Zea mays: one gene and its partners. The protein of the gene in region 1 binds, or shares a complex with, the protein of each later gene. Links are inferred from orthologs where the notes say so. Each region holds a gene or a part of one and is shown in the gene's direction. Other genes may lie near its edges.

What was found.
Region 2: oxygen evolving enhancer protein 3 containing protein (region 1) and NAD(P)H-quinone oxidoreductase subunit T, chloroplastic share a complex: the UniProt entries of both Arabidopsis thaliana proteins name them as parts of the chloroplast NDH complex. The link is inferred for Zea mays from reciprocal best matches to the Arabidopsis thaliana genes PnsL3 and NdhT.
Region 3: oxygen evolving enhancer protein 3 containing protein (region 1) and NAD(P)H-quinone oxidoreductase subunit S, chloroplastic-like share a complex: the UniProt entries of both Arabidopsis thaliana proteins name them as parts of the chloroplast NDH complex. The link is inferred for Zea mays from reciprocal best matches to the Arabidopsis thaliana genes PnsL3 and NdhS.
Region 4: oxygen evolving enhancer protein 3 containing protein (region 1) and NAD(P)H-quinone oxidoreductase subunit N, chloroplastic share a complex: the UniProt entries of both Arabidopsis thaliana proteins name them as parts of the chloroplast NDH complex. The link is inferred for Zea mays from reciprocal best matches to the Arabidopsis thaliana genes PnsL3 and NdhN.
Region 5: oxygen evolving enhancer protein 3 containing protein (region 1) and Photosynthetic NDH subunit of subcomplex B 5, chloroplastic-like share a complex: the UniProt entries of both Arabidopsis thaliana proteins name them as parts of the chloroplast NDH complex. The link is inferred for Zea mays from reciprocal best matches to the Arabidopsis thaliana genes PnsL3 and PnsB5.
Region 6: oxygen evolving enhancer protein 3 containing protein (region 1) and NAD(P)H-quinone oxidoreductase subunit M, chloroplastic share a complex: the UniProt entries of both Arabidopsis thaliana proteins name them as parts of the chloroplast NDH complex. The link is inferred for Zea mays from reciprocal best matches to the Arabidopsis thaliana genes PnsL3 and NdhM.
Region 7: oxygen evolving enhancer protein 3 containing protein (region 1) and NAD(P)H-quinone oxidoreductase subunit O, chloroplastic share a complex: the UniProt entries of both Arabidopsis thaliana proteins name them as parts of the chloroplast NDH complex. The link is inferred for Zea mays from reciprocal best matches to the Arabidopsis thaliana genes PnsL3 and NdhO.

What each region holds. Positions count from the first base shown.
Region 1 is NC_050102.1:1,245,645-1,248,521, forward strand, and holds oxygen evolving enhancer protein 3 containing protein, read left to right. Parts: upstream 1-1,389; 5' UTR 1,390-1,486; coding exon 1,487-1,793; intron 1,794-1,880; coding exon 1,881-2,269; 3' UTR 2,270-2,377; downstream 2,378-2,877. Other genes in the region: vegetative cell wall protein gp1, read right to left, coding at 555-1,157; kinesin-related protein11, read right to left, coding at 2,724-2,877. UniProt on the Arabidopsis thaliana protein: NDH shuttles electrons from NAD(P)H:plastoquinone, via FMN and iron-sulfur (Fe-S) centers, to quinones in the photosynthetic chain and possibly in a chloroplast respiratory chain.
Region 2 is NC_050099.1:14,035,810-14,038,941, forward strand, and holds NAD(P)H-quinone oxidoreductase subunit T, chloroplastic, read left to right. Parts: upstream 1-1,373; 5' UTR 1,374-1,484; coding exon 1,485-1,825; intron 1,826-1,981; coding exon 1,982-2,402; 3' UTR 2,403-2,632; downstream 2,633-3,132. Other genes in the region: Pyruvate kinase 1, cytosolic, read right to left, coding at 2,814-2,969, 3,059-3,115. UniProt on the Arabidopsis thaliana protein: NDH shuttles electrons from NAD(P)H:plastoquinone, via FMN and iron-sulfur (Fe-S) centers, to quinones in the photosynthetic chain and possibly in a chloroplast respiratory chain.
Region 3 is NC_050100.1:42,420,517-42,423,221, forward strand, and holds NAD(P)H-quinone oxidoreductase subunit S, chloroplastic-like, read left to right. Parts: upstream 1-1,284; 5' UTR 1,285-1,325; coding exon 1,326-2,033; 3' UTR 2,034-2,205; downstream 2,206-2,705. UniProt on the Arabidopsis thaliana protein: NDH shuttles electrons from NAD(P)H:plastoquinone, via FMN and iron-sulfur (Fe-S) centers, to quinones in the photosynthetic chain and possibly in a chloroplast respiratory chain.
Region 4 is NC_050098.1:176,087,766-176,091,037, forward strand, and holds NAD(P)H-quinone oxidoreductase subunit N, chloroplastic, read left to right. Parts: upstream 1-1,341; 5' UTR 1,342-1,408; coding exon 1,409-1,762; intron 1,763-2,132; coding exon 2,133-2,249; intron 2,250-2,361; coding exon 2,362-2,447; intron 2,448-2,552; coding exon 2,553-2,622; 3' UTR 2,623-2,772; downstream 2,773-3,272. UniProt on the Arabidopsis thaliana protein: NDH shuttles electrons from NAD(P)H:plastoquinone, via FMN and iron-sulfur (Fe-S) centers, to quinones in the photosynthetic chain and possibly in a chloroplast respiratory chain.
Region 5 is NC_050098.1:158,250,019-158,253,256, reverse strand, and holds Photosynthetic NDH subunit of subcomplex B 5, chloroplastic-like, read left to right. Parts: upstream 1-1,168; 5' UTR 1,169-1,211; coding exon 1,212-1,481; intron 1,482-1,698; coding exon 1,699-1,753; intron 1,754-1,913; coding exon 1,914-1,982; intron 1,983-2,072; coding exon 2,073-2,131; intron 2,132-2,347; coding exon 2,348-2,584; 3' UTR 2,585-2,738; downstream 2,739-3,238. Other genes in the region: putative transmembrane protein kinase family protein, read right to left, coding at 3,202-3,238. UniProt on the Arabidopsis thaliana protein: NDH shuttles electrons from NAD(P)H:plastoquinone, via FMN and iron-sulfur (Fe-S) centers, to quinones in the photosynthetic chain and possibly in a chloroplast respiratory chain.
Region 6 is NC_050097.1:23,630,826-23,633,841, reverse strand, and holds NAD(P)H-quinone oxidoreductase subunit M, chloroplastic, read left to right. Parts: upstream 1-1,329; 5' UTR 1,330-1,497; coding exon 1,498-1,953; intron 1,954-2,162; coding exon 2,163-2,339; 3' UTR 2,340-2,516; downstream 2,517-3,016. Other genes in the region: uncharacterized protein, read left to right, coding at 1-184, 408-528, 715-786; uncharacterized LOC100502247, read right to left, coding at 2,742-2,819. UniProt on the Arabidopsis thaliana protein: NDH shuttles electrons from NAD(P)H:plastoquinone, via FMN and iron-sulfur (Fe-S) centers, to quinones in the photosynthetic chain and possibly in a chloroplast respiratory chain.
Region 7 is NC_050103.1:163,552,443-163,555,363, reverse strand, and holds NAD(P)H-quinone oxidoreductase subunit O, chloroplastic, read left to right. Parts: upstream 1-1,209; 5' UTR 1,210-1,361; coding exon 1,362-1,560; intron 1,561-1,672; coding exon 1,673-1,836; intron 1,837-1,949; coding exon 1,950-2,009; intron 2,010-2,113; coding exon 2,114-2,143; 3' UTR 2,144-2,421; downstream 2,422-2,921. Other genes in the region: Phosphatidylserine decarboxylase proenzyme 2, read right to left, coding at 238-317, 511-696. UniProt on the Arabidopsis thaliana protein: NDH shuttles electrons from NAD(P)H:plastoquinone, via FMN and iron-sulfur (Fe-S) centers, to quinones in the photosynthetic chain and possibly in a chloroplast respiratory chain.

The sequences.
Region 1 (2,877 bases):
GCAATTGTATTCACGTTTAGAGAGAAGCACCGCTGTCTTGTGCTCGGCTCGATAGATGCAGAGTGGAGGGTAGATCTGTGGAGCCGCTGCAGGAGCTGGGGAATCTCTCTCCAACGGCCCAAGGTGGTCAACAGCAAGTCCATGGTCAATTCATGTTAATCCAGCCGACATGCAGAGGTGAAAGGGCAGTGATTCCTAGTACTGCTACACACTGAATTTCGCCGCGAAACGCTAGAGAATTCTTAGGAAAGAATGCAGATTCTGCACAGTACAACAAACTGTAAAGAGAACAGCAGAGATTAGGTTTTTTTGTTTTATTTTTTAATTTTTGACAAGAGAAACGCGCGCGCGCGCAGGCTGATTCTGTGGGATCCTGACGGCGGCGACACTGAAGAATTCAACAAAATTGCACCTGAATTAGAGATGGATTAATTATAGGATAAACTGAAGAAACAGTACATCAGCAGACGGCGGCGGCTAAACTCCTCTACCAAATCCACAGCTATTGCCCTGCTCTGAGACTGAAGCAGTCGGCATCTACGACTACGATTGAGTCAAGACGCCGTTGGGCTGGGCGCCTCTGGGGCGGGCGGCGGCGCATCAGGCGACGGCAACGCAGGTGGTGGAGGTGACGGCAGCAGCTGGTCCGGCGGCGGTGGCGACGCGATCTCCGCCAGCGGCGGCGGTGGTGACGGGAATGCCGGCGGGGGCAGCTGCTGCTCGGGAGGTGGGAGCACGGGCACCGGCGGCGGCGGTGACTGGAATGCCGGCGCGGGCAGCTGCTGCTCGGGAGGTTGGAGCACGGGCACCGGCGGCGGCGGCGGCGACAGAGGGGTGTCGGGCACAGCCGTCGGCCGTGAGGGCGGCGGCGGCCAGGCGGCGGCGTCCGGGGAGGGAAAGGCGGGATCTTGCGCGGGCGTGGGCGTGGGCGGCGGGCGGGCGGCCGTGGCGGGCGAGCGGTATGCGGGGTCCGTGTCGGGCAGGACGGGCTGGCACGCGTCGGCGGCGGCGCACGCGGACGATGCGGAGGCGGGGCTGGACTTGGCGGCGCGGTGGAGGACGGCGCGGAAGGCGAGGACGACGCCGACGACGGCGAGGGCGGCCAGGAGGGCGAGGAAGATCTTGGTGGCCTTGCCCACGTAGCAGCCGCCCCGCATGGCTGGCGGCTCTGGCTGCTCGTCCTGTGTGCCTGTGTCTCGTGGCCTTCCTTGGTTTGGTGGTGGTTGATGGCTGGTGGGGCGGTGGTGGCTGAGGGAGTGAGTGAGTACTCAGTAGTGGAGGAGTGATCCAGATTTGAATCGTACCAAAAATTACAGGCCAGGCCAAATTCATCTTCAACTGCAAACCTCATCAGGAACGGAAGGATGTCGGAACGGCCAGCAGCCGCTTTCTTCCTTTTACTTTTTTCTGATATTTCTATCGGCTACGATCTCATGCGTTAGCGAGTGCCGCCCCGCCCGCGCTATCCACTCGTCTCTCCGTCCCCATGGCCACTTATCTCAACGCACCGCCGGCAGCCACCACGACGACTGCAAGCTGCCGCCATGCCTTCTCCGGTGGCAGCCTCCGTCTACTCCGGCCGAGCCGACCGACGCTGCACGTGACGTGCCAAGCCGCCGCCTCCTCCCAGCAGCCGTCGTCCCCGTCCAGGAGGTCAGCCTGCCTCCTCGGCATCGCGTGCGCCGTCCTGCTCCGCCCACGTGCCGCCTCCGCCGCCGAAACCGACGACGAGCCGGCCAACAACGGCTGGTGGCTGACCGAGTTCCCCTTGCCCGTGCCCAAGATCGTCAACAGTAAGCCGTCCCGTCCGTCCTGCTCCATCCACCACTTAACTTTACTTGGTTCACTGACAATTGTGTCGGCGATGAGTGGCATGGCAGAGGAGATCAACAACGCGGAGACGGGCACGCGCTCCTTCCTCAAGAACGGCATCTACATGGCGGACATCGGGCCCAGCTTCGCGGCGCACGCGTACCGGCTGCGCAGCACGGCCTTCGACCTGCTGGCGCTGGAGGACCTGCTGGGCAAGGACGCCTCCAACTACGTCAACAAGTACCTCCGCCTCAAGTCCACCTTCATGTACTACGACTTCGACAAGCTCATCTCCGCCGCCGAAGACAAGCCGCCCTTCGTCGACCTCGCCAACCGCCTCTTCGACAGCTTCGAGACGCTCCAGGAGGCCGTCACAGCCAAGGACGACGCCAGGATCGGCGACCGCTACGCCGAGACAAAGCTCATCCTCCAGGAGCTCATGGCCAAGATGGCCTAGCAGAACCACAATTTTTCATTCATATATCATGATGTGTAAATGAATACTTGAAACTCACAAGGGGTATTGCAGAATTCCCAGAGCAGGGAAATACAATTATCATGTCAGGCTGTGTGCGTGTCCGACAACGGGTACACAGTTGTTTACATACACGCCCAGCTCAGCTCAGAGGCATTGGGCATTGGGCAAACGACAAATCAAGACTACGAATGAAAGCAAAAAAATTGAAAATGGCAACACATCCCAACATACAAATCAGATCAGGTCCTAAGATTAATATAATAGGCCAGCACACCCACCGCTGCCAGCCGTTAGCGCAATCAACAAGGCCACAAACCAAATAAAATTGGCAACTCACACCACCTCCAGACAAGGGGATGCAAATGATCGGTTGCATCACCAAATCAACACACACACAAGCATTACACTGGCAGCTCGCTTCCGCCGTATTTCATCATTGTGAGCTCCGCATCTGGGTTTGGCGCCTGGGGATCCCGATCTCACAGGAGTTCACCCTTGCAGCAAACCGCAATGAGCAAAGAGACTCCCCTGTCGAGGACGCTTCAGGAGACAGATTCACAAACATCAGTGTCTTCGAGTCCCCTCCG
Region 2 (3,132 bases), on another chromosome or scaffold:
AAATTGCTCCAAGCCAAGCACGCTTAACTTGGAGGTTCTTTCAAGATAGGCTTCCGAAAAAGAATATGCACCTTGTTGGTATGATTACACTATTAATTCTATTAAGCCTTGGGCCAGGACATCCCATCCCAGGGGCCAGGATATCACAATCCACCCCCCTTAGAAGACCGACGTCCTCGTCGGTCAACCCCAATCCAGGAACCTCCCCTCTTGGCCACGTCTGTATGTCTAGTGTCGTCATATGCCATGCCATGTGACCACTCCGGGCCCAGATGCGCCATGCGCCATATACCCGAACCCCCTAGCCCACACACGCCCGTGAAACCGCGAGGGTCGGCTCTGATACCACTTGTAACACCCCGTCCAATCCCTGGACCGGCGGTACTTACTCCTGGCAGCTCTCTAGGATCATATATTGTCCCCACATACCAACACAAGTCTTTTGTGCGCACTTTGTCCTCACTCATGCGCACCCGAGAAAACTTCCCGGTCGGTCACCCATCCCAAATTGCTCCAAGCCAAGCACGCTTAACTTGGAGGTTCTTTCAAGATATGCTTCCGAAAAAGAATATGCACCTTGTTGGTATGATTACACTATTAATTCTATTAAGCCTTGGGCCAGGACATCCCATCCCAGGGGCCAGGATATCACAATTTGTTCGGTTATTTTCAATCTATAGATTGGAAGAGATTGATACGTATTGAGAGAGATTTTGACTTACTAAGGATTGAAACCCTTTAATCACCTTCAATTTATATGGATTGGCATAGAAGGGAAGACCCCTCTCCCTCCCTTTCAACTACACTAGTTACCAATGGCACAAATCTCGTAGCATCTGCAGTGGCTACCAATGGCACAAATCATGTCTTGTATCGGGCGACAAAACCGCTAGTCACAAGAGTGCTGAGGCCAAAGCTGAGAGACTGGAGACGGCAGTAACGAAGATCCAAGCATTGTTGCCGTTTCAAGAAGACCTCTCCCTGATGATACCGTGGAACGCAAACCTGATGCGCGTTATCATGGGAGGCGACACCCAAAATCCTGAATTACAAAAACATTATTAATTTAATCACAGTTAAAAATTACAACAAGGGGATGTAGCTCAAATGGTAGAGCGCTCGCTTTGCATGCGAGAGGTACGGGGTTCGATCCCCCGCATCTCCAAACTGTTTTTTACCCCCCTTGTTTTATTTTTTTTACCTCTTCTCCCTCATTGTCACTTGGTCAGTACTCAGTACTACTCAGGATAACTGTGCGGACGAATTCGATTGCGTACCGTCTAAACTGACAGCGCAAGTGTTCGTGCGGCGGGAAAATTTCTGCAGTTTCATTTCTCGTTCGGAATATGGTTACCGTTCCTTTTTCTTTTTGTACATGTGGCCATTGGCTAAGTGAACAGCGACACCTCATCGCCTCGCCCTCCTACCACGACAACTGGAACGTGCGAGCCTCATCACCTCCCGACTCCCCTCCACGCCTTGGAATGCTGCCTGCGCAGACGCTAACACACACGTTTCCCATGGCAGCGTCCACGGCCTCGCGCATCTTCACGCCCTTCCTCCACCGGCACCAGCGGCGCACGAAGGCAGTCGTGGTCGCAGCCGCGAGCCCGCCCGACGCCGAACCGACTCCTGCGACGGCGGACGGTGCAGGGCCGGGGAAGAAGAAGACGGTGGACACCAGGATACACTGGTCCAACCCCGACGAAGGGTGGGTAGGAGGCAAGGCCAAGAAGGAAGGCGACGGCCGCGGCAGCAGCAAGAACGAGCCGTTGGGAGGGAGGTTCGCGGACCTCATCAACAACGCGGCCGAGTCTCACTACCAGTTGAGTTCATCTCCAATCCATGCTCATATGTCCTTTTGGATTGCCGTCCAGCTGTACATAAATTTGTAGAGCTCTGTTCGAGACACTGTCATCATCATGTCAATACTTTGTTACTAACGGCGACACATGACTGAACTGCAAAATCTATCACCCAGGTTCCTTGGCATAGCGCCAGAGGCGGACATCGAGGAGATCAAGACGGCGTACCGGCGGCTGTCCAAGGAGTACCACCCGGACACGACGACGCTGCCGCTCAAGGTGGCGTCGCAGAAGTTCATCCGCCTGCGAGAGGTGTACAACGTGCTGAGCAAGGAGGAGACACGGCGGTTCTACGACTGGACACTGGCGCAGGAGGCCGAGAGCCGCCGCCTGCAGCAGCTCAGGTCCAGGCTCGAGGACCCATACGAGCAGGACATCATCAACTACAAACCCGTGCCAGACATGGTTGACCGCCTCGGCGGCAAGAACATGAAGCTTAGCGATCAGGCCATGACTGCGCTCACCATCGATATCGTTATCATCATCATCTCCATCTGCTGCATCATCTATGCTGTTTTCTTCAAGGAGCAGTACTGACAGCAGCATACCAGCAACAGCAGCAAGGTTGCAGGAGTGTACCATAGACAGAACATTATAGGTAAATTAACTGATAATGCCCTAAGATTGTCTTTTGGGATGTTATCATGCACTGCATCATGTAATGTCCAATAGAATAAGGTAGGAACGACGATTATTCATGGTTTGTTGCCAACAATCCTATATTTGCATAATCAAATCATAATTCCAGTATAAATCTGTGACATCATAATTTATTGCGTCAAATCAAAAGACAATCTGAAAAGAGGGCAAAATTCCCTAACAAGATATCTTGTGCTCTTGCTGTACTCTACTTGGAACTTGGTTAAATAAGTGAGATGGAACTGGAGGTAATCTCCCATGCGATACATGAAACTACAGCATGGGTTGTAGGTATCAATCATCTAATGCCTAACCTTCACACTCAATGATCTTGACAACAGAAGAATCACCAATCTTTTCAAAGATTATCAACCTGTCGAAAGGCTTCACTATGCCAACCGACCGACCATAGCTCATCGCAAGTTTTATCCCATACTCTTCCTTTGTTAGCCCACCAGTTTCGGCCTATTACAGAGTTTTAAGCATTCATGGTTAGCCATATGTTTTTTTACATGTAACTCTAATGTTAGGGAAAAATACAATTGCTTACATACCTCATCAGTACTCCCCATCAAAGGGTACACGCCTCTCACTGCGAAACATTGTCTTGCCTGAAAGTGGTTTAATA
Region 3 (2,705 bases), on another chromosome or scaffold:
AAGGATTAGAATATGGAAGGGAGAGAAGGAAGGGGAGGGACAGACACTGGCTTAGACTGTGTTCACCGCTTACCGCCGGAAGGCCCCCTCCCCTACGATAGCGGCTACAGGAGCACCCTAAAACGTTCAATGGTTAACTCTATCAAGCACCCTACGCTGCCGTTCCCCCTAGCAAGTTTCTTTCTCCCCCTCATTCTGTCGTGCATCTCTCACCCCCTCTAACACTGTTTACGTGGGCCTACTTCCAATTATTAGTAAATGAAAAATTGATAGGAGATAAAAAGAAGGTATAAAAAATGATATTTTATGGTTGTAGTGGGGTGTAGGGGAAAAATTTAGGGGGAACCGCTGTACAGGGTTAAGATATAGGGGGAAAGAGAACGCTGACGTGACACGTGAGTGAGATATAGGGGGCCAAATTTAGGGGTAACCGCTGAAGACAGTCTTAGAGAGGACAAAGTGGAAATTGAGCGGAGCCGGAGCTGCCACGAACAGTGACTTGTCGAGAAAGATGAGATGGTGAGAGAGCTGAAGCGCAGGCGTAGCGAGCGATACTATTATCGCGACCATGACGTAAGCTACGGATTTGTATATGAAAGTGAGTATGTATACAGAAGATAGCAATGATACATCGTCTCGTCCTAAAAGCTGTCGTCGTAAACGCAAAAACATTGACTAGTCATAAAATAAACGAGCCACATTAAACTTTGCGGAAAAGGGAAAATATAAATACGCACATAGCATTTCACATCCTCATTTTGTGTGAATATATTTAATAGTTTTTCTTCTATTTCAATGCACGAGTACATTTACCAGTATTTTATTTATTTAATATAATTATTATTGGTTTACTAAGTAGTTTTTAAAGAGCTCTCGAAGATGCTTTAATTATTTTAAATTAAAATAACCTGTTTCAGTCTCTCCAATACAGAGTTCGATATGCATGTGTAAATATGATCGGAAAACCTTTTTTCTCATGTAGGAGCTAGTTTGAAAAACTTATTTTTTTTCCAAAAATTTATTTTCTCAAATAAAATTAGTTTATTTTTAATCTAATCTAATAATAAAGTTTCCATACTAACCCTAATAATAAAAAACAGGACAGAAAAACTTCTGTCGGTTACGTCAACCCCCTCGATTCAGGTTCAGTACCGCCACACACAACATAGCGGCAGGGCCACGTGGCGCTGACGCCTCATCCCCTCTCCGTTTTCCACCGCCACTCATCCACAACTTTTTTCTTTTTCACTCTGTACAAACTCATCCACAGCTTCCCGACTTTGTCTGTTCTGCTTCGCTCGCGGGCGCTCATCTCCACTCCTCCGATGGCGCCGCCACCCACCAGCCCCTCATTCCTCCGCCCGCCGCCGCTGCCACACCACCCGCACCCTCGCCTCCTTTTGCGACCTCCCTCCGCCTCTTTCCGCGTCGCCGAAATACTCGGCGGTCGGGGCCTCTGCAATGGTGAGGTCGGCGTCCGCAAAGAACTCGCATCCGGCTCCACCACCTCCTCGCCCGCGCCCTCTCCTCCTCCTTCGACAGATTCTCCTCCGCCCGCGGTTGATCCGGACGCGTTCGAGAAGGAGATGATGGGCCTCACAGGCGGCTTCCCTGGCGGTGAGGTCGGCCTCAAGGACTTCGTAGCCAAGAACCCGCCTCCTCCCAAGAAATCAGAATCCCAGCCCCAAGCCACGCTCTCCGCGCCGCCGCGGCCGCCGGAGCTGCCGCTGTTCTTGCCCGGCATGGTGGTGCTGGTCAAGAACCCCAACAACGCCTACCACATGTACTGCGGTATCGTGCAGCGCGTCAGCGACGGCAAGGTCGCGGTGCTCTTCGAGGGAGGAGTGTGGGACAGGCTCATCACCTTCAACCTCGACGAGCTCGAGGGCAGGGAGAAGGGACCCCCTATGGCCAACCCCAAGTCCGTGGTGCTAGAGGATCTTGTCGCGGAGCTCGAGGATGACGATGATGATAAGGAGGACGAAGCGGCCAAGAAGAAGGAACCGGAGGGCGCGGCGGCGGCGGCGACATGACCAGGCTTCTTGTTCCTGTTATACACATCCTCTGTATGTATGCATGTATACAGCTCAAATAAAATATTTGGAGCTAATTAAAAAGGAACGATAATATAACTCTTATTATGAAGTATATAGTTTGAATGTTAGTGTGAATTGGGGCATGGAAGAATTGCCATACGTTTGATCACATTTGACCTGGATGGCTTCTCTTGGATTATTAACTTCTAATTATGATAACAATGAGGATGCCACAAGACTTTCAGTTCTCTGAGATCTGTATGTTATGGCCATATTATGCACTTAAAATTTTGTAGCTGTAATGGTTATCAAGTAGGATTAGGATGCCAATTTAGCTAGAACATGTTTTCTTGCATGAAACTGGTTAGAGCAGATCAAATTGTCAATTTAGCCACTATGTCGCCGTGTTGTTAAATCATTACTTTTCATTCGGTTTTAACTGGCATCAAGGTTTATCTTCAGTGTTCTTTTGCTTCGATTGTTGATCACTTGAGCACTTCTGGAACTGAGTTACAGAAGGCAGGATGGTATGGATCTGGTTAACAAGTCTACAATGTGTATGTTTGGTTTATATGAAGAGGATTTGTGCTAAAGTTTCTTATCCGATGCTTAACCACTCGATGCAAAGATGTGTCGGTCTGAGCCATATAATGGAAAGATGTTCATTTT
Region 4 (3,272 bases), on another chromosome or scaffold:
CTAGTATTATTACTTATCCTCCATATTGTCATCATAAAACTAGTTTTATCTTGTGAGTTGTGATCTAATCTAGTGATTTAGCTTTTATAATGTTGCTCCACCTATAATTTTATCCTGCGTTCGCCACTGGTCTCCACGACCGTCCTGTCATGCGCGCCATCTTTTTCCTCTTATGTTGTCACCACCGCGAACTTCCTCTATAGCCTTGCCTAGTGGCGGATAAGGAACAAACTAAAAGAGGATTGTTTTTCTAGTGACCAGTGTCCGATGCAACAGAAGCTAGTCATTTAGAACATAAACACGGTCTTCAAAATATAGCTTTGACCAATATTTTTGTAAATACAAATAAACTCTTAATATATTTATACTTTTGTAAAAGTGATTTTTAAGATATATATATATGTATATATATATTAGATTTCAAAACTATTATTTATAGTCAAAGTTTTATATGTTTCACTCAAACCTTGTCTAAAACGACATCTTTTTCAGGACCGGAGGGAGTACACAATTGGTGAATGGAAAAAATATCGTTTGAATTTTTTCTCATTAATATGGCTGGAAAAAAATAGATGATGAGATATAGATGATAAAATTTAGAGGTTGCTGCTGCTGAAGGCATGAAAAATATACATGATAGAATCTTTTAAATGGTGATGTGAAAGACTAGAAATATTATCTTAGTGGATAAAATTTTGGAACCCTGCTGGGACAGACTAAGCACGACCATCCCAACAAATGATGCACAACATCCATCTTTCTTTAAAAAAAGCAAAAAGAGCGCGTGACCTACTTTACTAACTGTTTAATTTAAAAGGTTTTTTAAGCTGGTGTCCTCAAATCGTTATATGCCTAAATATTTATTTAAGTTCTTTATATTTTAATTTTTCAAATAACTTCTGAAGTCAACGTGATCCACACCGAAATTTTACTCCCTCCGTTCTAAAACAAATGCATTTACGTGGGTTTCCAGTTGATGACATTCTTTTGGGACAGTTTAGACTTTGGAAACACAAATCACCTTCAGAATTGGCGGGTCTGAATAAACTAAAGTTTCTAAAATAGGCCTTAACAGGATTAATGATCTATGTAACTTTTAATGCATTTTAATATTTTGTTTGGATCTAAAGAAAATTCACGTATCCGTACTGTGTGCGATCTCTGAGTAGAATCTGAATACAGATTGGTAAGTGGTAACACATGTACTCTGCTCTTTCAGTCTTGGGCAGTTCGGCTGACAGACCAACCTACGGCCTGGATTGGAGACTTATCCGCGACCCCTCCTCCCCACTTCAGCTTCAGCGCAAGCCATCTTCCCGCCACAGGCTCAAAAGCAATCAAGCGACTCCTCCCACAGTCCCACTTCCACTCCCACCCACCCACACGCACGGCCGCAGGCAGCAGCACCATGTGGTCGGCAGCAACGGCGGCGGCGGCGCGCGCGGTGTCCGTGTCCCCAGTCCCGGCGCCTTCGCTCCTCAGCGGCCGGCGCGGCGGGTCGCGGGGCGGCCGGGGGTCGGTGTCGGTGCGCAGCACGGTGTGGGACTTCGTGGGCGGCGACCTGGTGCGGCCGGACCTGGGCAAGTGGCTGGACGACGTGGAGAAGCACAAGGCGCTGGCCATCTACCCGCCGCACGAGGGCGGCTACGAGGGCCGCTACCTGAACCGCCTCCGTTACCAGGGCTACTACTTCCTCGACCTCTCCGCGCGGGGGCTCGGCGACCCGGAGACCACGCTCACCAAGGTCCACCCCGTCTGCCCGGTACGTAGCACGCCTTTAGTTTCTTGGGAACGTATCTCGTGCTCACGCGACGTCCGTGCTCATGTGAGCACTTTAAATCGTGAGTGTTCCTTCTTAATCTAACGATCATGCTGCTGGCCAGGAACACTCATCGTTAAGGTGAGAGGACTTAAGTGAATAAAAAGCACTAATCGTTGGATTAAGAAAGAACACTCACGATTTAAAGTGCTCACATGAGCACGGACATCACGTGAGCACGACATACGTTCCCTTCTCTCTTTCTTTGCTTGTTGTTGCTGCTGTGGCTGTGCCGTGTCCTTTCGTCGCGTGCGGGAACCGAGCGGTCGATCGACGAACTGACTCGATTGGAGTGGCGGTGCGGTGACTGCAGCCTAGCCTCGGCAGGCAGCCGGTGGCGCGGTGGTACTTCCCGCCGGAGGTGGACTACAGGCTCAGCCTGCTGCACCCGGACGCCAAAGGCCTCGTCGTCTGGATCATCGAAGCCAAGGTGAGGTGCCTGCTTACATCTACATGCACGCGCCTCCATCGATCGGCACACCACTGACGAGTGCTCTGTTCCTGAACCTCTTCTTCGGGCCTCTCGTCTGGTCTACGTGCAGGTTCTGTCCAAGGCTGAGCTGCAGTTCCTGGCCATGCTCCCGGACATCCGCCCCAAAGTCAGGGTGATCGCAGAATGCGGCAACTGGTACATGCGCTTCCTTCTACCTCCCTCCATGTCTAAATTTCCCACACGGGACCACTTGTGGCTAAGGCCTGATTACGTACGTGTGGCCCTGTTGCACGCGTGCAGGAGAAGCTTTGTTTGGAAGCCACTGAAGCAGATCGCAGGCCTCGAGCCGGACCCGGACGCGGAGGAATGATCAAGCAAGCAGGTCTAGCTAGTTGTCTACCAGACTGGCTACTGCTACTGCTACACTCTCCAATTGCTTCTGGGACATCTCTCCCTGCCATTCCTGCAGCTTTGCACTGAATGAGAGAGGCAATTAATAAAGATATACATACATTTTTTTGGCACGAGTGTCAGAAGAGAAAGAATGCGAACCATGTACAGATTTCCATACATGTGAATAGTTCACGGCCGCGACGCGTTTAGGATTCTCAGAACCCAGGCGCACAGCCGAACACGAGAGCGCAGGCACACGAGATCACTGTCCTCGTCTCCATCGCGTTGTGGATCGGCGACATCATTGCCACCTTGGTCAATGAGCTTGCATTCTTCCTTCACCATTGATGCTCAGGTAAGCTGAATTAAAGAGCGCGCTGAAAAGGGTCCACATTTCGATATTCTTGACGTGTGAGTTGGACACGAAAGAATGGATCGCTTCCGCACGAGTAGAGCGAGGAAGTGCTTTCCCCTCACACAGAAGCAACGAACATAAGATGAATGAATTAACCCAAAAAAAAAACGCATATCAGAAACTAGAACACCACATGTGGATGGGAGGTAAAGAAGTTTCTTCGAGGAGCCTTCTTCAGATTCTTCCCCTATCTTCTAATTTTCTATCCAAAA
Region 5 (3,238 bases), on another chromosome or scaffold:
GCTATCCATCCGCACAGAGTTGTTGTCTGGTTCTTCTCGTCTTCGCCAACAGCATGCCACAGCACGACAGCTCTGCTACTCCACCCGTTGAGTACCACGACAGCTCTGCTACGTTCGGTATGAGAGATTATGCACGAAATCATCTCTGTATTTTCAGTGCAGCAACGTGATTTCATTTTATTTGTGTCTTGTTGCTTTATTTTCACCTTCCAGACTGAAGTTGAGTCACATTGACTCTCCGCCAACTGGTAAGGACAGAGGCAGGGCTTCGAGGCGTTCACGAGTAGAGTACTGGTGATGTCAGAGCTTTACTCATCGTTCGATTACAGTAAAAAAAAATGCATGGGCAGTTTATTGATGCAGTGATGCTAGCCTTTTTTTCTCTTACTATGAAGATGGGGGACTATGTTGTCTTGATACCAAAAGAACTGGGAGCAATTGCATTTTTTTTGTATAATACTAATTTAAGAAACTGGTTTGTTGATTACTAGGCTTAAGGATCTGATCTGTAACAATGTCATGTGCGGGTCTTCTTGTGACATCGCAATCTCGAGGGCACCCCAAGGCCGCCAAATGTTCTAGTGTCCATTGATGCTTGGTAAGAATTCAGTTAGAGCTTTACATGCAAATTAGTACTGTATATTTATTTGTAAACATAGCACCATTGTACTACTAATTAACTGTGTATATCTAAACCCTAAACCCTAGGTTGATGAAGACGTTCTAGCAACCAACCATAGGTCGCTATAAAAAAATCGTTGTGTAGTGTATGAGAGAATTTAGAAAGAACCACTCCATATACATGGAAAAATTTAAAGGACAGGGTTACAGATAATCCTACAAAGAGTGAGTTCTCACTTGTTTTGTTGGTGTCCGTTGACCAAAGCACATGCGACAGTTTCTTACAAATATAGCGCACAGAATCACGATTTTTTTTGGCGGGGGGAGGGGTTACTGTGGGACGTCCGTAGGTGTTCAGTTCCACAGAATCGTACCGAGTTTTTATGAGCTGATTATTTCCAGAAACGAAAAAAGGGACAGGAAAAGACAGCGGAAAAATCCTGGACGGTAGGTGTCCAACTCCAGCGCACCATTATCCGCTTGCTTTTTTGTCTCTTGGCCGCAACGTGAAGTGCAGCAGCAGCCAGCAGCGGGGGCTGGAGCACTCACCAGTCACCACTCAGCAGCGATCGCAGCACCGCGGCGAGATAATGAGCAGCCTGTCCTCCGGCATCTCTGCCTCGCCATCTGCAGCGCCCAGCACCGCTCGGCGCCGCCATGACGCAGCGCCGCAGCAGCTGAGGGTGAAGGCGGCGGCGCGGCCACAGCTGCTGCACGCCGGCCGCCGGCGTTCGAGTGTCGGGAGGAGGCCGGGCGGCGGCGCGGTGGTGGTGAGGGCCGGGCCTGGGCCGCTGTCGGAGATCGAGCCGGACCTGGAGGAGGACGCCATCGACGTGTACCGCACCAACGGCATCAGCCCGGTCCGTCGTCGTCGTCCCTCGTTTCCTTCCTTTTCTTCTCTTCTCTTCTCGGTTGTCGTTCCGCGCTTAGTTAGTTAGACTAGGAACACGCAGGAAAGCAGTGAACCTTGACGTAGGTTGTGCTATGAACGAGAGCTCTGAAGAACGGAGTACGTTTCGTTCGTTCGTTCGTGGATGACACTGGAGAGGATCTGTCTTGTCTTGTCTTGTCTTGCAGGAGGACTTCGAGTACGGGAAGTATGACGGACACCACACCTATTTCGAAGGCCAAGGTATTACTATCCTCCCAGAAAAAAATAAGAACTCCATTGTTCATGATATGATATCCTTCATTGCAAAAAGAAAAAGAAATAATAGTCCACTGATTGTTTTGTGCTGTGGTGAAACAAAAACCTGCAAACAACCGCAACACCCCCCGCTTTTCTTCCCAAGACAAGAAGGGCTTCTGGGAGGATGTCTCCGAGTGGTACCAAGAAGCTGAGCCTCCTCAGGGCTTTCAAGGTACTACCACTACTGTGTAGCTCTTTCAGATCTTTATGCTTCTGCCTTGCTCATTTGTTGCACTGCATCAATGGCGGCGATCTCTTGCAGCACTCATCTCCTGGGCATTTCCTCCTGCGATCATCCTCGGCATGGCTTTCAATGTGCCGGTAAGGATCCAGCACTTCCTCCTCCCAGTACCTAGTCCCCTGTTTGGAACACGAAGTTTCCTGGTCGGAAGTGAATTGTGCTTTCTGTCGGGAAAGTGAATTGTTTCCTGTGAAATTCCTGCGCTCCAAGCATTTGTGCCCCAAAAAAAAAAAAAAAAAAAACTCGTCACCTGCATCTACTGATCGGATCGGAGACGCGTCTGCTTGTGTCGCCAGGGGGAGTACCTGTACATCGGGGCGGCCGTCTTCATCGTGGTGTTCTGCGTCATCGAGATGGGCAAGCCCGACAAGCCGCACAACTTCGAGCCGGAGATCTACATGATGGAGAGGTCGGCCCGCGACAAGCTCATCGCCGACTACAACTCCATGGACATCTGGGACTTCAACGAGAAGTACGGCGAGCTCTGGGACTTCACCGTCAACACCAGGGACGACATCGTCAAGTCGACCTAGATGCATTGCGTACACCGCTCGCTGCCCTTCAGATTGTTGCCTCACAGCAAAAAAAACCCTGTGAAAGGAAGCTGTAGCTGCTAGGAAAATCTCTTGAATAAAAAGGAAAGCCATCCTTCCTGTAAGACTGGAGAGCCTGAAAATCTGTTCTATCCTCGTGCCATATAATACACGACATGTTCTGCAGACTGTTGCTTCAACTTTCTGCATGAATTGCCTTTGTTTTCATGTTTTCTCCAATACTTTGAAGGGAAGAGAAAAAAAAACACATGCAAGACTGATGCGCTGAACAATCAAGAGCCGCTGGTTTGCCACCACCCACCCATTCTTATTATTATTCAACAAAAGGAAAATGTCATTAATTCCCCTAAAAACATGTGCAGAAAAGGGAGAATTAGGAAGGAACCATCAGGGTAACAAAACTGGGGAGAAAAAAAGGGTAAGCCTCGCAGCTGTTTCCTCTCTTTTTTTTTTACACTTGGGATGCAGCTGGCTCGCTATGAAGACGGGCTCTTCTTTTTTTTCCCGAATTCCGAAAGAGAACAAGGCTGGTCTACTGCCCTGAGGAGGAGAGAACTAGCTTTTCTTCTAGACTACACATCCCACTGATGTTTGTTTCACCTGGATGTTCTGAAGAGCTGACTGCCTAGAGTC
Region 6 (3,016 bases), on another chromosome or scaffold:
ATTTCCACGAGAAGGATGCGCGCAGCTATGACGCGCATGGCCCTGCTCCCGCCCTCCCCCTCGTCCGCCTGAACCACGTCTCGTTCCAGTGCGAGTCCGTGGAAGCATCGGTCGGCTTCTACCAGCGCGTGCTTGGCTTCGAGCTCGTCAAACGCCCGGCGTCCCTCGACTTCGGAGGAGCATGGTGAGCAGCCATTTCGCACTACATATATACCACTGCCTAGCTAGTGCCTGTTTCTTGTCCATCGATTTATTATTATTATTATTATTATTATTATTATTATTATTATTATTATTATTATTATTATTATTATTATTATTATTATTATTATTATTATTATTATTATTATTATTATTATTATTATTATTTTCGCCAAGGTGAGGTCAACTCGTTGCGTGCTTTCCAGGATGCACAGGTACGGCATGGGGATATATCTACTGCAGCGCGGCTCGGATTCGTCGCCCAACGCTCCGGCAGCTGCAAGACCGCCGGCGATCAACCCCAAGGGCAACCACATTTCCTTTCAGGTGACCACCAGAGCGCTCTCGCAGAATTAAGAAACTGGATAGGCAGCCAAATTTAGTCCAATCCAAGCAGAGAGGATCCTTGCTCTCGCGCAGAGTTGACCTGCTTAGTTAGTACGAGTACTTAGTAGTAGCAGTAACCAGTAAGCACCCGCTGATCGGGTGTGCTCGTTTGGCAATGGCGTGCAGTGCACGGACATGGGGCTCATGAAGACGAGGCTGGGTGACATGGAGCTGGAGTTCGTGGCGGCGCGGGTGTGAGACGGCGAGACGGTGGTGGAGCAGCTCTTCTTCCGCGACCCAGACGGCAATGTGGTCGAGGTCTGCGACTGCGAGAAGCTCCCCGTGATACCCCTCGCAGATGCAGGCAGCACCGGCCTTCTTCCAAATACGCTGCTGCTGCCGGTGGAAACGAACTTGCATGGCTAGTTCGTGGTGCTTGCTCATTGGTTGCTTAGCACGATTATTTGATTCGTGTGATTAGATTTGTGAGCTGTAACAATACTGTAATAACAGGCAGTTCTGCACGCTATTGTACATATGTTGCAAGTGTCCGTACGTAGTGTAATGTGTATGTACAGGTTCGGAGATTGCCGGGTTAGGCGTCTTCCAAGCTGAATTTACGTAGTGTTGTGCGTAATGCTTGTGCAATGGCGATGAAAGCTGGTGCTCTTCAGTACTCTGTGCGAGACTGACGACAAACCGCGTACCCCGAAATCGCAAGGCAACCGCCGCACCAGCGTTCAGAGCCCAATGAGTCTGGAAGCCTGCTTGGCCCAATGGTGCGCTGTGCAAAAGTGCAAACCGAAACCGAAGTCAGTGGCAGAAACGGCCCTTATCCACACACACAAAAAAGTACGCGACACAAGCCACGCTCTCCGCTTGTGGCTAAGCTGCTGCACGCGCGGAACGACAAAAATCCAGCACTAGCCAAAGCACAGGCGAAGAAGCAGGCGAGAGGCCACCACAAACATGGCGACCACGGCGTTTCTACCCCCGGCCAAGCTGCCGCTGCAGGGGCGTCGGTTCGCTAGCCCCAAAACGGCGGGACGTATCAGCGTCAGGGTCCCTCCGGCGCGAGCGCAGCAAGAGCAGCAGGTGAAGGAGGAGGAGGCCGAGGTGGCGAGCGTGCCGCCGCCACAGGACGCGGAGAAGCAGGCGAGGAAGGGGGACGCGCAGTCCCTGCCGCGGCAGCCTTTGGCGGAGAGCAAGAACATGAGCCGCGAGTACGGCGGGCAGTGGCTGAGCAGCACCACGCGGCACGTCCGCATCTACGCTGCGTACATCGACCCGGTGACCAACGCGTTCGACCAGACGCAGATGGACAAGCTGACGCTCATGCTCGACCCCCAGGACGAGTTCGCCTGGACCGACGAGGCCTGCCAGATGGTCTTCAACGAGTTCCAGGACCTCGTCGATCACTACGAGGTAACCTCTGTAGTTGCTCCCACTCCAACAGCTCCGATAGTAGATAAAAAAAATTTGAATTGAATCTCTTGTTGTCTGAAATTCGTACGGTCATTTCCCCCCTTTTCATCTACTTTAGAGCCACTCCTGCCAAAAAAATAAAACATACGGTCTTGGCAAAAGAAGTGATCGGTAAGAGGATAGCTGAGCTCGTTTCTGCTTTGAAACAGGGGGCTGAGCTGTCGGAGTACACACTTCGGTTGATCGGGTCAGACCTTGAGCACTACATCCGCAAACTGCTGTACGACGGGGTGATCAAGTACAACATGAGGTCCAGAGTCCTCAATTTCAGCATGGGCAAGCCTCGCATCAAGTTCAACAGCAACCAGATACCAGAAAAGATATAGAATGTACTTATCCAACGCCCTTAAAAGAATGGTTTCTCTCCATTCGATTACCGAGCAAGATGTATACTCTGCAGTCCCAGATACGATCCAGAGCATTCCAGAATTCATATTACGCAGATGCAAAGCCATACACCGATTCTGTTGGCAGAATTTTGTCACCCCTGCACAGTAATAACCACATAACGAGAGTCTGGGCAAAATAAGGGTTTGCTCGAGTTTAGATACCCCTTCTGTTTCTAGGGCACTCGAATTGGGTTACAGTACACAATACCATAGTTTCTGCTAATAGATACGTATCACCGAATACCACATGAGGTCAGAGAGTTGCACAGAGACGACCGCGCTAACTTACCAAACGACTTTCTGAACTGGATGGAGTAATGGCTAGTATGGGTAAACCCTCTACAAACATTCCATGACAACTCGGTACTTTTTAAATTCATCGCTCCATGGTCTGAATTGGTCTTCTAGCTCAATGTTCTACAGAAGCATAAAGATACAGTAAGGGCTAGTTTGGGAACCTCAATTTTCTAAGGGATTTCTATTTTTCCATGGGAAAATGAACTAATTTCCCTTGGAAAAATAGAAATCCCTTAGGAAATTGGGTTCCCAAACTAGCCCTAAATAATTAAAATTAGGGAACACCACCATGCTATGCTGCTGCTGAGTACTTCGTC
Region 7 (2,921 bases), on another chromosome or scaffold:
CGATATGGTGGCTCATAACTGGCTGAGGTACTTATCAGCAATCCCGCGTGCGGCGTGGAAGTTAAAATTTACTAGATCGGAGGGCACAGCCAGAGGGACATTTGAGAGTTACCAAGTCGAGGGACACACAGCACGCAGACATGAGAGCGAGACAGGGATATTCTTGCACAGAGGAATGGAAATGGAACAGACATAGGACGAGTATTCGAGCAGTAAATAAAAGCAAGGGCGACGCACTTGTCGGACGTCTCGGTGCGGTACGTGCGGTCGCCGAGAGAGAGGCACGCGAAGAACTTGTCCTTGAACTGCATATCCGCCTGCGCCCGGAAACCGAACAGGAGGATCAACCATGGCGAGTCAAAGTCAGAGTCAGAGAGGCAGAGACAGTGATGCGATACGAATCGAAACCCACGGATTCCGCCTCGGCTGGCCGCGTCGAAGCGGGGAGCGAGACTCGGTGCTAAGGAACATGCGCGTAGCAGCGGAGTTCGCAGCGCGCGGCCCACGTACCTTGGCTATCCGGACGCGTGCGATGCCGGCGAACTCGTCGGCGGCGAGGGCCTTGGAGGAGACCGAGTCGTCGCCGGCGCCGCGGCGCAGGCGGTTGCGCAGGCGGCGGCGGAACCGCGCGAAGCGCGAGGGCAGCGCCTCGCCGGCGCCGGCGCAGGCAGTGGGCCGCGACGCCGAGTGGCCCATCCGGACAGGTTGGTGGGGACTGGGGACGAAGACGGACGGGACGGCGCGGCGCGGCGCGGCGCGCCTTTTGCGGGACGGTGGTGGGCGCGGCGTCAGACAGACAGACAGACGCCTAGGCAGATGGTGGTTGGAAATGGGCCAAAAGTAGAGTCCCTTTTGAATCCAGGCCAACCGCCTGCCTGCCTGCCTGCCCGCGCACGCCGGTTCGTCGCCCGGCCGCGGGCCCCATCGCCACTTTGATAACTCGGTGGACCCACACGTCAGAGGGGTTTTGGAAGGTGTGTAAGGATGGAAGTCAAACCTGTGTTGATGGCGCTGGTGGGACCGGACAAGGAAGATCCACCTGCGTGCGCTGCGCACTGGGGGGGCGCCTGCCTGGCTCTTGGATCCACCCATTTCCCATCGTCGTCTTCTTTTTCTGAATGGGAATCTCCACTTCTTGGTGGTGGCAGGTCATGACAGCAGCCAAAGTAGATGATGATTCCCCCCCCCCCCTCTCTCTCTCTTGCGCTTGCAATGGGAAGCAAATGGCCAACCAATAGCAAAAAGGCAGCCGTGTATCGATCGCCTTATCCGGGTCCTGTGGCACTGGCACACCGCGCGTCCGGATTTGGCTGAGTAGCTGACTAGCTGAGCGAGCAATCCATCCCTTCGCCCGCCGCACCATGGAAGCCCTCGCCTCGGCGCCTCGGGCGCTCTTCCCGCGCGCGTGCCCAGTGGCGACGCCGGCCGGCCCAGCCCGGCGCCGCTCCGCCGCTCCTCACATCTGCAGGGCCTCCGCGGCGGCCGGGGAGGAGACGACGCCGCCGCCGCCGCCGGCGGCCGCTCCCAAGAAGATCCTCAAGAAGAAGCCCGTCTACTCGAGTAAGACGACGACAAGACCCCCCCCCCCCCCCCCCCCACCCCCCCCTACTTCTCCCTCTAGCTCTCGCGCGCGCGGCCATGCATGCATGATGAAACTGGCTGAGCTTTGCAGTGAAGAAAGGGCAGATTGTGCGCGTGGACAAGGAGAAGTACCTGAACAGCATCAATTATCTGTCAGTGGGACACCCGCCCTTCTACAAGGGGCTGGACTACATATACCAAGACCGCGGCGAGGTCTTGGATATCAGGAACTTCGAAACAGGAGAATACGCCCTGGTAATGAAAACTACTTCCATCCGCGCATGCTGTGTTCAGAGTTTCGTCATGCTTTCTGCCTCCACCATACATGTTCAGAGTTTCAGACCAACGCGCGCGTGCATGCATTTCAGATCGCTTGGGTGGGGATCCCGACGCCACCGGCATGGCTACCAACCTACATGCTCATCAAGGTAGCTGATTCATCCCCAGTTGGATCAATCTGTACGTCATGCACCACTCGTCTCACCTCGCTCTCGCTCTCTGTCTCTGTGGCATGTGATTTGTTGCATTGCAGTCGGACAAGCTCGACTACGAGAGGATATGATGGCCGGCCGGCGGCCTCGCAGGGCACCGTAGCGCCGCCGCCGAATTCATGCTTCATTTCGCATCAGGAGTCGGCCAAGCAGGACACACCTCTTGTTGTTGACTTGTTGTAGGTATATACGTACATGCCAGTATTGCCAGAACAGTCGACAGAGGCAATCTGAGACCTCAGCTGCTGGAATAATCAGGAAGTAGATCGAGAGCGACGTACGATGACGAGATTCATAATTGCTGCTGCACATCACTTCTTTATGTTATTTAAACTCACATTTCATAATTAATACTAATAATATATTGTCTCCGTTCTTGAATATTTGTCTCGTCGATAGTTTATTTTCGAATAAAAAACGACAAAATAAAAAAATGATAGTGTACCGATTATGAAGCAGCCACAAACAAAGGTTTATAATATACCTTTCCAGCATTTATATTATGGGTCAAAGTGTATCATCACGCACACGCCTCTGTCTACACTCCGCAGCTAGCCACTGCTGAAATAAACAATGTACAATTAGTCAGGGAGGGAAACAAGGTTGAGCCATCTTTAGATAATCTCTAAGACCGTGTCAACCAACTCCCCTATCTCATCTCATATCACATCCCTTATTTCAGACTTTACTCTATAAACAATGATAAATATTGTTATTTACAGTATCATGTCCTCTATTTTAGGGGATCCACTGAAGACAGTCTAAGTTAGTGTTTAGAATGGCTCGATGCCAAGAAACGACTTTGTTCGAAAAAAATAGGGAGTTGGATGGTTCAAGATTTGATCATAT